Canis lupus familiaris: one gene and its partners. The protein of the gene in region 1 purifies or fractionates together with the protein of each later gene. This does not show direct contact. Links are inferred from orthologs where the notes say so. Each region holds a gene or a part of one and is shown on either strand. Other genes may lie near its edges.

Region 1 (4,119 bases):
ACATATATCCTTATATATCCATATATGTATATATATCCCTATATATGTGTATGTATATATATATATATCTCCTTATAAACTACAGACATATTAACAGTGTAAATCTGTTATTTGTCTGATATGAAGGGTGAAGTTTTTACCAAGTCTAAGTAAGGTAATAACTGAATGTAAACTGTAAATTATTACTGTTTTATATTTACTTTTTCTTTACTAACATACTATCACTGGGAGGAGATTTTGAGGAGCAGCGTAACAGCAATAGGTTTCTGCTAGGCCCATTTTAAAGCCCCATTTTAACCCTAACTAACCACTTTATGCATTTCTAAGGGTTTATATACTTTATGGTCATGGAATAGTCTCCTCAAAGGCAGAGCTGGGAGGGAGTGGATATCCACTATAATCTGGGCCTCCTAGATGGACGCTATAATCAACTGATCTATCTTGACCAGCAGAAAGCAGTTATTACATACAGTTTTTGCAAAGCTCTAAATAACACGAGGTTTCCCTACTTCCTAACATCCTTCAGTGTCAACAATTTCCTCACTATCCAAGTTTCTGCCCTCACTTCTACAATTCAGCTCTCCTATTTGAAATGTATCTTTGGATTTCCCTTTTGAAAGCCCCTGGAACTGTTCCATAAAATTGTTGGTTATGCCTAAACACGGGGCCTAGGAAGCCCTTTTAACGGCTGCGATGTTCAAACTTAGGTATTACTCTCTGAATGACTCAAATGCTTTTGCATCCAACGTCTGCCACCTTAGTTTAACGAGCAAGTCATTAAGCAAATAAAACGAGTCTGTTTTCTAAACCTTGCATCCTCCACATTATCAGGTTAAGTAAAGACTGCACCGCCTTTAAAGGAGCTGAGAAAAGGGGGAAAAAAAAAAAAAAGGCGAGACTCACTGACAAATTGTAGCAACCTGAAAATAATCAGCTGAGCTATCCGGACCAGAAATTTCTGCATTTCATGGTGCTTCAGCTTTAACGCTGTACGGACTTCTTAAGTCTTAGGGTTCGTCCAAATTGAGGCAGGCCTCCTCTCCCGTCCCCGTGCTGGTTCGCGAACCCGCGCCCGCCCCCGCCCCCCGCCCGGGCCCCGGCAGCCATGCGCCGCAGACTGCAGCACCCGAGCTCGCTGTCCGCAGGCGCGGCGGACCCCGCCCCGCACGGCCGGCGCGCGGGGGGGGGGCGGGGGGAGGGGGCGCCCTGGGCCAGGAGCCCGCCTCTGCGGCGGCCGAGCCGGGCGCCGAGTGGGCGCGCCGGGCGGGAGGAGGGGCCCGCGGCCGTGGCACCGCCCGGGCCCGCCCGCCCTCCCGGACCGCTACTTAAGAGGCTCCGGCGGCGCCCCCGCCTCAGTGCGTTACTTACCTCGACTCTTAGCTTGTCGGGGACGGTAACCGGGACCCGGTGTCTGCTCCTGTCGCCTGCGCCTGCTACCCCGCAGCCACCATGGTGAGTGGGCCGCTCGGGGCGCCGCCCTTGCCCTGGAAGACCGGGGGAAGCGAGCCTGGCGGTCTCGGGGCGGGGGCGGGGGCGGGGGTGGGTGAGGGGGCGCCAGCCGGAGATGAGCGCCCTGATTTGGGAAGGCGAGAGGCGAGGCGAGGGCGGGAGCAGTGAGAACAGCTGGGGCCAGGACGGGGGGCCGCCGCGTTTTCGTCTCGGACTGTGGGAGAGGATGGCCGGGCGCCGGCTCCCGAGACCGTGGTCGGGGTTCTCCATTCGCCCTTACCTCTTGGGGCGCGGCGGCGGCCCGAGACCCTACAGCCTTTTTCCCGCGCGTTCCCATCCCCCCCTTTCCTTCCCCCGCTTTTGGCGGGCGCGCGCGCGGGCTCTGCACGCCCTCACTTCCTCCTCTGCCAGGAGCGCGGAGGCGGGAAGGAGCCGGACACAAAAGCGCACGCGCGACCGTTACCTTCCCGCCACAGGGAGAGGCGGGAGACCGCCCCTGCAGTCTGCGCGTGCGCGCCGGGTCGCTGCGGGCCTGCCGCTGTAGGGCGTGGCTCCTGGTAGCCTGAGTTTTCCTTTTTTATTTATTTTTTTCTTTCTTTCAACGACAGCCGTAAGATGAATGTGGAGGAGAACAGCTCCTTGTCAGTGTGCTGCGTTACGTCAGGGTATCGGGACAATTAGCTCCCAGCAGCTTCTAGAGACCATCTGTCCTTAACTCGGTATGAGTTAGGAATGCGTGTAGGAGCAGGTGGTGGCGGTGAGGCGTTCCGAGGGGACGGAAATCGGATCTTGCTCCAGATCTGGGCCGCCGATAATCCCCTGCCCTGCCCAGACAGATGTGGAGGTGCTGGGCTGAGCCCAACGCCTGGGGAAGCGGAAGAGGGTTGGCGGAGGCAGACCTTCTGCAGACGTGGCTGCGGCGTGTCTCTGCAGCTGCGCGGCCCCGCCGGCCGCAGAGGGGCGCGGGCGCGCGCACTCCCTGAATTGCTCATTCATCCTGTGCCGCAAAGCCCCGCCCTTTGTCCCTGCAGCCAGACGTTTCCTCCGCACTGCTCTGGCCACGTGCTTCCTGTGATGGGAACTGCCCGGAAATCTGGCTGCCCAGTCTAAAATGGCATTCAGAGGCCCGAGCCCTGGATGAATGGCTATCTATCTTCATCCTCCAAAGGAGGAAGCTGTGACTAAGCTCTCTTGCTCTGGAAAAAAGGGCCTTCCCAATAGAGGTGGGGAACAGAAATTCGTTAAAAGCGATGCAGAGCAAAAAGCAAAGGGATTCTCCCCCCTAGAGATCTAAAAGTATTGTGTTTTAACTAGTTTTAGAAGGGGAAGTTTGTAGAAATGACATGAATTTTGTTCTGCTTTGCCGTCATTACTAGATTAGTTTAAGACTGATTTTTATTTTTATCTGTTTTTTCCGCAGCGTGAGTGTATCTCGATCCACGTTGGCCAGGCAGGTGTCCAGATCGGCAATGCCTGCTGGGAGCTCTATTGCCTGGAACACGGCATTCAGCCCGATGGCCAGATGCCAAGTGACAAGACCATTGGGGGAGGAGATGACTCCTTCAACACCTTCTTCAGTGAGACGGGCGCTGGCAAGCATGTGCCCAGGGCAGTGTTTGTAGACCTGGAGCCCACAGTCATTGGTGAGTTGGCCTCAGTAACCCAAGTGAGCTCCCGGGGCACTGGGGCAGGAGGTCTGTCTGAGGCTCCACTGACAGCCTGGGGCTGAGCAGGGTCATGCAGGTTGTTAGTGATGGGTGGCCACCTTGTTTTCCTTTTCCAGATGAAGTTCGCACTGGCACCTACCGCCAGCTCTTCCACCCTGAGCAGCTCATCACAGGCAAGGAAGATGCTGCCAATAACTATGCCCGAGGGCACTACACCATTGGCAAGGAGATCATTGACCTTGTCTTGGACCGAATTCGGAAACTGGTATGTTTATTCTCAAGAATAAAGTAAATAAGGATCCGAAGGAAGACATTTGAGATACGATGTTTTGTTTTGTTTTTTTCATTTCAAATGCAGAATTGAAATGTAATGGAGTGAGGTGAACTACTCCTTTACAGTTTTTTGTTTTTTTTTTTAATTCAATTGAAACCTGAACTACTTGGGTGCTGTTTTACAAATACTAATGAAGATATTTTTAATTAAGAAATGCTTAGAAAGTCTAGGAAGGCCTACATGTATTTAAAAGCATTTCTTGTCAAAATAAGATCTATATTCTTGGAGCTGTATGAAAAGTGGAAATCTGTGTACTTATGATGATATAGCAAAGAGCAGTAATAGGTTTTCTCTATTCCTTTTTTCTAACAGGCTGACCAGTGCACGGGTCTTCAGGGCTTCTTGGTTTTCCACAGCTTTGGCGGGGGAACTGGTTCTGGGTTCACCTCCCTGCTGATGGAACGTCTCTCTGTCGATTATGGCAAGAAGTCCAAGCTAGAGTTCTCCATCTACCCTGCCCCCCAGGTGTCCACAGCTGTAGTAGAGCCCTACAACTCCATCCTCACCACCCACACCACCCTGGAGCACTCTGATTGTGCCTTCATGGTAGACAATGAGGCCATCTATGACATCTGTCGTAGAAACCTCGATATTGAGCGCCCAACCTACACTAACCTCAACCGCCTTATTAGCCAGATTGTGTCCTCCATCACTGCTTCCCTCAGATTT
Region 2 (4,291 bases), on another chromosome or scaffold:
GGGTTAAGGCATTGGCCGCACCCAGGCTCTGCCAGCTCCTGCCCACCACCCAGGGTGTCGGCTGAGGGACTCACCTGAAAGGACACGCAGCGGTCCAGGAGGCCATCCTGGATCAGTTGTTCCTTGATGGCATGGAGCCGCTCAGGGCCCTCAGGAAAGCTGGGTTGACAAGACATACAGTTACACACCCACACACACACAGACTCTCTCTTCCCCCTCTAAAATGCAATCTTCCCAGAGGCAGGGGTTCTGTTTGTTTTGTCTACCACGGCATCCCTAGCTCCTCAGGAGATGGCAGACATGTATTCGAGAATGAAATCTTTTGCCATCATGAGTCTTCTGTTGGGAGAGGGGACATACACACATAAGTGTGATAAATGAGCAAACAATGATATAGACTAGGAAGGCCTCCAACAGCAGGTGTGGGGGAAGGGGAGCAGACAAAGACCTCTTGGAGCAAGTCTCCTTGAGATGGGAATGTTAACTGGGTGAGGAGGAGGTGGAAATGAGTTTCTGGAAGAGGGGGCCAGCCAGGGTAAAGACCCGAGCTGACAGAGTGCCTGGCGATGCTGGAGGAACAGCAGGGGGACCAGTGTGGGTGAAATGAAGCTACGCGAGTGACTGGCTGATGAGGTCACTGAAGTGGTGTGGAGCCAGATCACGTGGTATGTTATAGGCCAGAATGAAGAATCTGGACTTTACCTTGAGGGCAATGGTATACCCTTGAAGGATTCTAAAAAAGAGAACAGGACTCTAACTAATGTAATGCAGTATGTCAACTATACTTCAGTTAAAAAGTAATTAAAAAGAGAGAGACAACATCATCTCACACGTATTTTGGTTTTCTTTGGCTGCCATGTGGAGAACAGACAGCAGGGTGAGGGTGAAAGCAGGCAGCCAAGGAGAAGGCCTCGGCCAAGTCTAGGTAAGTGATGGTGGTGGTGGCAGTGGAGGTGGTAAGGAGAGGTCAGGTACTGAATACATTTCCAACACAGAGCCAAAAGAATTACAACATGTGTGAGCAAATGGGAGGTATAAATTCTTGCATTTCTGCATGAAATATCCTTTCTTCAAGGAAGCCTTCTGCGAACCCCGGAATGCTAGTCTAGGGTCCTCTATCAAACACTCTTGAATCCCCTAGTCTGGGGTTATCCTTCGTTAAATACTTCACACTGCTGTTGGCTGTTTAATGATTTGCTCTCCTACTCAACTAACAGCTCCTAGAGAAGGGGCCCTGTCTGTCTGGTCTGACATGTCTGTATCACCAACTCCTGGAACACAGTGCATACTCAGGAGGTGTTGGCCAAATGAAAAGAATCTTTTCAAGCCTAAGCCTCCCCACTTGAAATCATCTGCTGCCAGTCTCCAGGCTAGCATAAGAATGGCTTCGTTCTTGCTAATGGGCTCTAAGGGCATTTATTTTTGTGGTTAGGGTACCGTCTGGAGGAGCCAGCCTCACCTGTCATCCCAGAGGCAGTGGAATTCATTTAGTTGCTCATCAAACACCAAGCCAGTGCCACAAAGTGTCTTGGCCTCAAGGTTCAGATCCTGCAGGGAGAAAAAAAGGGGAGAAACCGATCCACTTTGGGCCCGAGTCAGAAGGAACACACACTGTCCAGGAGGGAGAACCACAGGATTCTGATTGTCACAGGAAGCTAAATCCATTGAGCCCAGGCCACTCTCACCAGCCCTTGCAGGCCCACGATTAGGTCTTGCTCTGCTGCTTGGCTGAGCTTCTTCATTCTGCCTTTCTTCTTTACCTCTGCTAGACTAGGGCTGGAGTGGCGTAAGGCACCCTTCTTAACACCTCGCTTCTGCCAAACAGAGAGAAGGGTCAGATTCCAGGGCACGGCCTACTGCTCCTCCCCCCCATCAGGCAGGTTTGGGGCCTCACCGAGGTGACGCTGGAGTCGTGGGGGGGCGAATGGGGGTTATGCCTACTCCTTCGCTGCCTGGTTGTGGTGGAATCCTGGCCGGTGGAGGTCATGGTCGGGGAGACTTCACCCCTGATGCGGCTCTGGGGGGTGGGGTGGCGGTGACTACGAACAGGCTGGAGTGCCCTGAGGGCCTCCCAGACCCCGCCCCCTATACAGTCTCCATCCCTTCTGCTATCCTACTCCCCACCGCCTTCTAAACTCCACCCCTTTCAAGGCCTTCTCCTTCCACTGGGGTGTCCATTCCACCTGGTCCCGCCCATCCCAGTAGGCTCCACCCCCTTAACACTATTCTTTCCCCTTTAAAAGTCTTGCCCTTTCGCGGAGCAATAAGTCCCCAGGCTCAGTCCGTCCTAGCGCCGGCCCTTTCCAGCTAATCACCGCCCTTTCCGCTCCCCCAAATCACATTCCCAGACTCTTTCATTCCTCCAAGCCTCGCCAAGACCCCACCCCTTCACAAATCTGCCCCTTCCAGCTAATCTCCCAGAATAATCACCCACCCTTTCACTCAGCCAGACCCAGACCCCGCTCCGGCCCCGACTCCACCCTTAACGATCCACTTAACTCCACCCCTTATCAGGCTGGACCGACACCTTCCACTTGGCCAGATCCCGCCCCTAACGTTTCAACGAGCCTCGCTCCTCGGGGAACTGCCCCTTTCCTTCCACCAGATCCCACCCCCTGCTCAAACCCTACCCTCAAGCTCCAGCAAATCCCTTCAGCCAGTTTCAGGCCGCCTCCCACCAGTCCCCTCCCCCTTCCGACCCCACAGCCGACGCCGACCAATCCCTTCGGCTCCACTCACTGAGCGCAGCCCTTTTTTCAAACTCCGCCCAGGGCTCCCGCCGCCAAATTCCTGGCGACCTGCGGGACGGCGGGTGCTTGAGGCCCTCTTTTCCATTGGGCCGGTCTCTCTACTGCCCGCCCCGATCCGCCTACACTGTGTGTCGGTGCTCAGGGCCGCGCCCTTCAGGCGGGCCATACTTCCCGCGAGCTCACAAACGCCGTGGGTACGTCAGCGCGCGACGCTGGCTGTGCTGCGCCTGCGTGAAGCGTGCCCCCGCGGTTCGAGGTGGCGCTCAGGCTCTAGCCCGCCCCTCCCCCAACCACCGCCGCTGCCGTCCTGGCTCCCGTGGCCGCTGTCTCTCGATCCTTGTCCGGTCACCTTAGGAGTCCTCCGGACCCGCGCCAGTTGTCCTGTACGATGACTCAAGAGAGCAAACAAGCAAGCGAGGGAATTAGGAAGGGGCGGTTTCTTTTCTCCCGGTGGCTTCCTGCGCGGCGCGCTGTGATGACGTAGCGCGGGCGGGCCGGCGGCAGGGCCCCGGAGCGCGGTGGATATTGGAGGATGGCTGGTGGTGGCCAGAATGGGAGTGGTGACGATGTTAAATGCTGTGAGGCTTTTCCGAGTTAATATTCACTAAGGTGGCCCACAGGAAGCACTCACTAAATGTTAGCTGCTGCTATTCTGCTGGGAATATGGTTGGTAGGATGGAAGGAGGTTTACTGAGTGCAGTCGTGATGATAGCAAGTAATATGTGACAGGCACTGTCGTAAGCCACAATTCTGTGAGGTAGTTCCTATTATTAAGGCTGCTTTGGAGATAAGGAAACTGAGGTTACACGACTTAGCCATGTGACCCTTAGCAAGTTGCTGAACATCTATGTGCTTCGGTTTCTTCATCTGGCAAATTGTGATAATAGTGCCCGGGGCTTGAATAGACTCATGGAGAGTTTTTCTTGGATGGCAGTTCTCCCTCCAGCCCTCTCCATTGGGTAACCTCTGCCCCCAAGCTGTAGGGAAAGCGTGTGCCTGGGAAGTAGGGGGAGTTGCACCCGTGTGCCCCTCCAACTCCCTCACACCCCTTGTCTAGATGTCTAAATATCAGCTCCGCAGGAGGCCGGTTTGTCCTCCTAATCTCCCTCTCTCATTCTTCACCATTTCCTACCGGGCTGTAGGCTGGGGCTGAAGAGATAAGCGGTCTGGGGTTCAGCATGCTGACTAACAAATAGATTGACAGCCCCACCACCCAGTAGCCTGGCCCTATGACCCTTTAGAAAACCCCAGTTCCACCCTTCTCTTTCACTCTTTTGCTACCAGAACATGGTTTTGTTTTGTTTGGTTTTATTTTTTGTCCCAGTGGAAGAGGATCAAGTCCTAAGACCTTTAAACCTCCACATGCACCAAAGAAAACATGATACACACTGAGGAACATTCTGGGGTTGTAGTGCCCTCAGAACAGTAGAGTAGGGAGCACCCGGTAAGACCCACGGCCCATTTTTCTGTATAGTCACAAGACAGATTCCTGAAGAGCAGAGGTCAGTGAACTTTTCTGTAAAGAGCCGGATAGTAAATAT
Region 3 (4,201 bases), on another chromosome or scaffold:
ACAATAAACTTGTATTAAGACCAGGATATAGGCTCTGGTTCCTAGATTTAAGCCCCCTACTCTTTACCTTGTACTATCTGGCCTCAGCTACTATTAACACCTCAATTTATAGAAATTTCCGGCAACACAAGAATCATGTATACTTCAGAAATGTAGAGATCCGCCTGTTTCAGTAGCTCTCCAATGATTAGGACATTGGATGTGGTACCATCACCAGTTATGTCATCCTGGGCTGTTGCTACTTTGGCTATTAGGGAGGCTGTTGGGTGTTGAATTTGCTGAAAGTGGAAAAAAAGAAAAAAAAGAATTACTTCAGTGAAAATACTCCAAATATACTTTAAAGCATGTGAAGGGTCTCCTTAAATGCATCGATTTGCATAAACTGCCCAAGTGTTCAGCTATATACCATGCTGATTTAAAACTCACTATTAACTATTTTGTATATCAATTTATGATAACCCAAATATTTTTACATATAGATTTGAGAAGATTATCTCCACTTTACTGATGAGGAAATCTGAGGCTTACTGTTAAGGTCTACTGAAGGTAACAGAATTAACAGTAAGAAATAATTTCAAATCCATGCATGCTTCTTTAGGACTCTTGGGAGAATAAACCAGGTTCCTTCTAAAATTAAACCCCAGCAGCCTCCAGTATTACTTGGAATTGAATAAAAAAATAAAAAGAAAAAAGTTCTCTTTTAGAGCAAAGATCACTAGTGACAGCTAAATCACTGAGAGGTTTTTAAGAACAGGATATGCACTGTATGCCAAACAATGCTCCCGAACTGTTTTTAGTTTTTAAATCTCCTTATTCTCCTGTAATCCAGAAGAGTTCCACAACCTTTTGTTTTTAGGGAAACTGACAGTTTAAGAATCTAGGCCAGATATTTTGCAAACTATCTCATTTAAATTTGTAGATGATAAATATATTATATGGATAATACTGTATGCTTCTTACTGGGTTCATGTGCTTCTCTGAGTATCTACTGTATTACACAATAAAAAACTCAAAACACGGGGGGGAGGGTCATTTCCTTTACTTGGTTTTTAAGTGCTAGATTTTGGAAACTTAGGGATGAGTAAAACAACTGCTCTTCTCAACAGTCTCATACCCTTGGTCAGTGGGGATTTAACAATTAGAGTAGGGATCCCTAGGTGGCCCAGCGGTTTGGCGCCTGCCTTTGGCCCAGGGAGTGATCCTGGAGACCCGGGATCGAATCCCCCGTCGGGCTCCTGGTGCATGGAGCCTGCTTCTCCCTCTGCCTATCTCTCTCTCTCTGTGTGACTATCATAAATAAATAAAAAAAAAGAATTAAAAAAAAAAAACAATTAGAGTAAAGCAGAGTTTTATCTCGCTTTCATTTAGAGATGGGATGTTGACAGAAATCACCCTCTTAAAGAGAGAAAGCAAAACCATTTTGTACCTACCTATATCAATCGCTTTTTTTTTTCAAATTTTAATAGTTAATTTAAACTACAATCCCTTTTTTTAAAATCTATTATTTATTTATGATAGTCACAGAGAGAGAGAGAGGCAGAGACACAGGCAGAGGGAGAAGCAGGCTCCATGCACTGGGAGCCCAACGTGGGACTCGATCCCGGGTCTCCAGGATCGCACCCCGGGCCAAAGACAGGCGCTACACCGCTGCGCCACCCAGGGATCCCAAGATTTTATTTATTTATTCATGAAAGACACACAGGCAGAGACACAGAGGAGAAGCAGGCTCCATGCAGGGAGCCTGACGCAGGACTCGATCCAGGGACCCCAGGATCACGCCCGGGCCAAAGGCAGGCGCCAAACCGCTGAGCCACCCAGGGATCCCCAATAACTAACAATCCTTTAACCACGGATTTACATGGCAAGATTAGGGCTTCAAAAAGAAGTTACCAGACTCCAGGGTTCCTCCTGGCATTGAACTGTCACTACGATTACTGATTCTATTCCTTTTCTACTTCCTCCATGGTCTGAAAGACCTGCTGAGCAATGGTGAACTTCTATCTTGAAAATGAACATTAAAAATCTTCCTGCAAATCACACGTGATATGGAACACCAAGACATTTTTGACTTAGCATACCAAGCGGCCTCTCACCATTTCATGAAGCAGCACATTGCCATCTTTAGTAAGCTTGATGTCTCCAGCACCAGACACGAGCCTGTTCAACGAGCACAAATGAATCAGTGTGACGTTCTCATCGGAGACCTAGTCCATAGTCCCACTGCAGTCGGGCTTCACCCAGATCCTCGGGAGTTGGGGCCACGCGGCTGCTTCTCTGCACCCGGCAGGCAACAGGAACGGTGCAGCGCCCCGCTCTCCCTTCAGAGAAACAGCTGGCCGAGCCCTCGGGGTCTCCACGGCGCGAGCCGTGCACGCAGGCCGCTTTGTTCTCCGCAGAGGCGGCATCAATTAGAAGGGAAACGGACTGAGCAGGGCGCGGGGGCCACCCGGGAGCGTGCGGGCCGGCAGGGCGGCTGCGGCGAGTGCAGAGGCCCCGGCCGGCCCCCCTCCCCCGGCCCGCGGTGCCCGCGCAGCCCATTTCCCCTCCTCCCGCCCTCCTCCGCCAGGCTCGCGGCGCCCTCCCCTCCCCCCCACCGCCAACCCCGCCTTACATCTTCATGGTGCCCTTAGGCCCCAAGTTGGTCCTCAGCACGTCCTGCAGCCCCCGGGCCGCGCTGATGTTGACCGCCAGCGCCGCCTGGGCGCGGGCCACCTCGGCCTTGGGGTTCAGGGTCTTCACGGCCGCCATAGCCGACCAGCGGAAGAAGAGGAGGCTCGGCGCGCTGAGGGCCCGCAGCTGGCTCGGCGTGGCCGGGAGGCGCTACCCGGGTCTTCTGGAAAAGTCGGGCGCGTCGCCACGCCCCCAGCGTGCCCGCGCGCCGCTGCCATTGGGCCGCGGCGCTACTGCCCCGCCCCCGAGCGCCCGCCCCGCCCCCCGCGGCCGCGCGGCGCCGCCATTGCGCCCGGGAGGGCCCTGTTCCGGGTCGGAAGGGCTCGTCGCGGTCCGGCGTGGCCGCCGGCGGGGTCCGGCTCTGCAGCCCCGGGACCTGAGGAGCGAGGCGGGGCGGGGCGAGGCCGCGACTGCAGAGTGAGCGTGGGCCGCTCTCTCCTGGAGGTCTCTGGCCGCAGGGGTAGGGTGGGCTTCCTCCTCCCCGTCGCGCGTGTTGCCCTGCTTCCTCCCCTTGCTTCCTGCCTCGCCGTCACCGGCGTTTTCTGGCCTCCCTACGGTGTGCTTGGAAGGGCTCTCGGTGCTGCGGGGTGCAGAAGTGCACCTGCTCGGGCCCCCGCCCGCTGCTGTCGGTGTTCGGAGCCCAGGGAGGGGAAGATGGCGCGCAGGATGGAAGGTGCTTAGGGCCTTTTTAGCGAGCTTCGGGGTTGGTGCACTGGCGGCGCGGGACACGCTGCTCCCAGGCAGGTGGTCAGACTCAGACTTGCTTGAGTGGTGGTCCCCGTGCTTTGAGAGGGCTCTGTTTTAGTACAAAATTCCGAAAGGTGTGCAGTTGTTTTCTAGTATCCAGTATTCACCACCCCCGTATTATTCAGTAATGTCTTGTGTTTCGTTTTTATAATAACGAAAACCGTTAGAATTCAAAAGTTCCAAAGGGTGTATGATGAAAAGCACGCCCTCGTCCCTCTAGTTCGGCTTCCTTCAGACAAGCACAATTACCCTTAGATATTCTAATTTCCCAGGTGATTTATGAATTTATAAATGTGTATAGTTAAAAGCATTTCCCCCCCACACAAAATGTCAATTTAGAATACACAGTGATGGGTGTACCATACTTAAAGTATGTTGGTGATTGTACCGTATCAATACAAATAGGGATTCCGCATTAACAGCTGCCTGATATTCTTTGTAAGAGTGACAGAATTAACTTGTCATACACCGGTTGATATTTAGGTTGTTCCTAATCTTTTGCTATTGAAGCTGCAGTGAATATCCTGGAATATGATGCTTTTAAGTGGCTTTGTATATTTGAGAATCTCAACAGCACATTATAAATCTGATTAATGGCATTACACAGGAGACTTGTGCTTATCTTACTTGGTATGCATGCGGATTTATTTACTGTGCAGATGTGTGGGAGATATGAGCAGAGATGAAGATTGGAATTTTCAGGCATGTGTTTGCAGGTAGGAAAGGGGAGTGGATCTCCTGAGGTGCAAATTTAAAGGGGCACCAAAACTCAGTAATTGAAATC

What was found.
Region 2: the proteins of tubulin alpha-1B chain (region 1) and HDAC6 purify together in Homo sapiens (affinity purification with western blotting; 4 studies listed by BioGRID, with this or other methods). This does not show direct contact. The link is inferred for Canis lupus familiaris from reciprocal best matches to the Homo sapiens genes TUBA1B and HDAC6.
Region 3: the proteins of tubulin alpha-1B chain (region 1) and CCT6A purify together in Homo sapiens (affinity purification with mass spectrometry; 3 studies listed by BioGRID and IntAct, counting the BioPlex papers as one, with this or other methods). This does not show direct contact. The link is inferred for Canis lupus familiaris from reciprocal best matches to the Homo sapiens genes TUBA1B and CCT6A.

The regions. Positions count from the first base shown.
Region 1 is NC_049248.1:41,187,095-41,191,213, reverse strand, and holds the start of tubulin alpha-1B chain, read left to right. Parts: upstream 1-1,204; 5' UTR 1,205-1,449; coding exon 1,450-1,452; intron 1,453-2,869; coding exon 2,870-3,092; intron 3,093-3,232; coding exon 3,233-3,381; intron 3,382-3,762; coding exon 3,763-4,119. UniProt on the Homo sapiens protein: Tubulin is the major constituent of microtubules, protein filaments consisting of alpha- and beta-tubulin heterodimers. Microtubules grow by the addition of GTP-tubulin dimers to the microtubule end, where a stabilizing cap forms.
Region 2 is NC_049260.1:42,208,081-42,212,371, reverse strand, and holds the start of HDAC6 (histone deacetylase 6), read right to left. Parts: upstream 2,934-4,291; 5' UTR 2,917-2,933; coding exon 2,740-2,916; intron 2,650-2,739; exon of another isoform or gene 2,631-2,649; intron 2,575-2,630; exon of another isoform or gene 2,435-2,574; intron 2,018-2,434; coding exon 1,895-2,017; intron 1,815-1,894; coding exon 1,686-1,814; intron 1,549-1,685; coding exon 1,460-1,548; intron 160-1,459; coding exon 75-159; intron 1-74.
Region 3 is NC_049227.1:457,607-461,807, reverse strand, and holds the start of CCT6A (T-complex protein 1 subunit zeta), read right to left. Parts: upstream 2,844-4,201; 5' UTR 2,749-2,843; coding exon 2,612-2,748; intron 2,158-2,611; coding exon 2,094-2,157; intron 279-2,093; coding exon 144-278; intron 1-143. UniProt on the Homo sapiens protein: Component of the chaperonin-containing T-complex (TRiC), a molecular chaperone complex that assists the folding of actin, tubulin and other proteins upon ATP hydrolysis.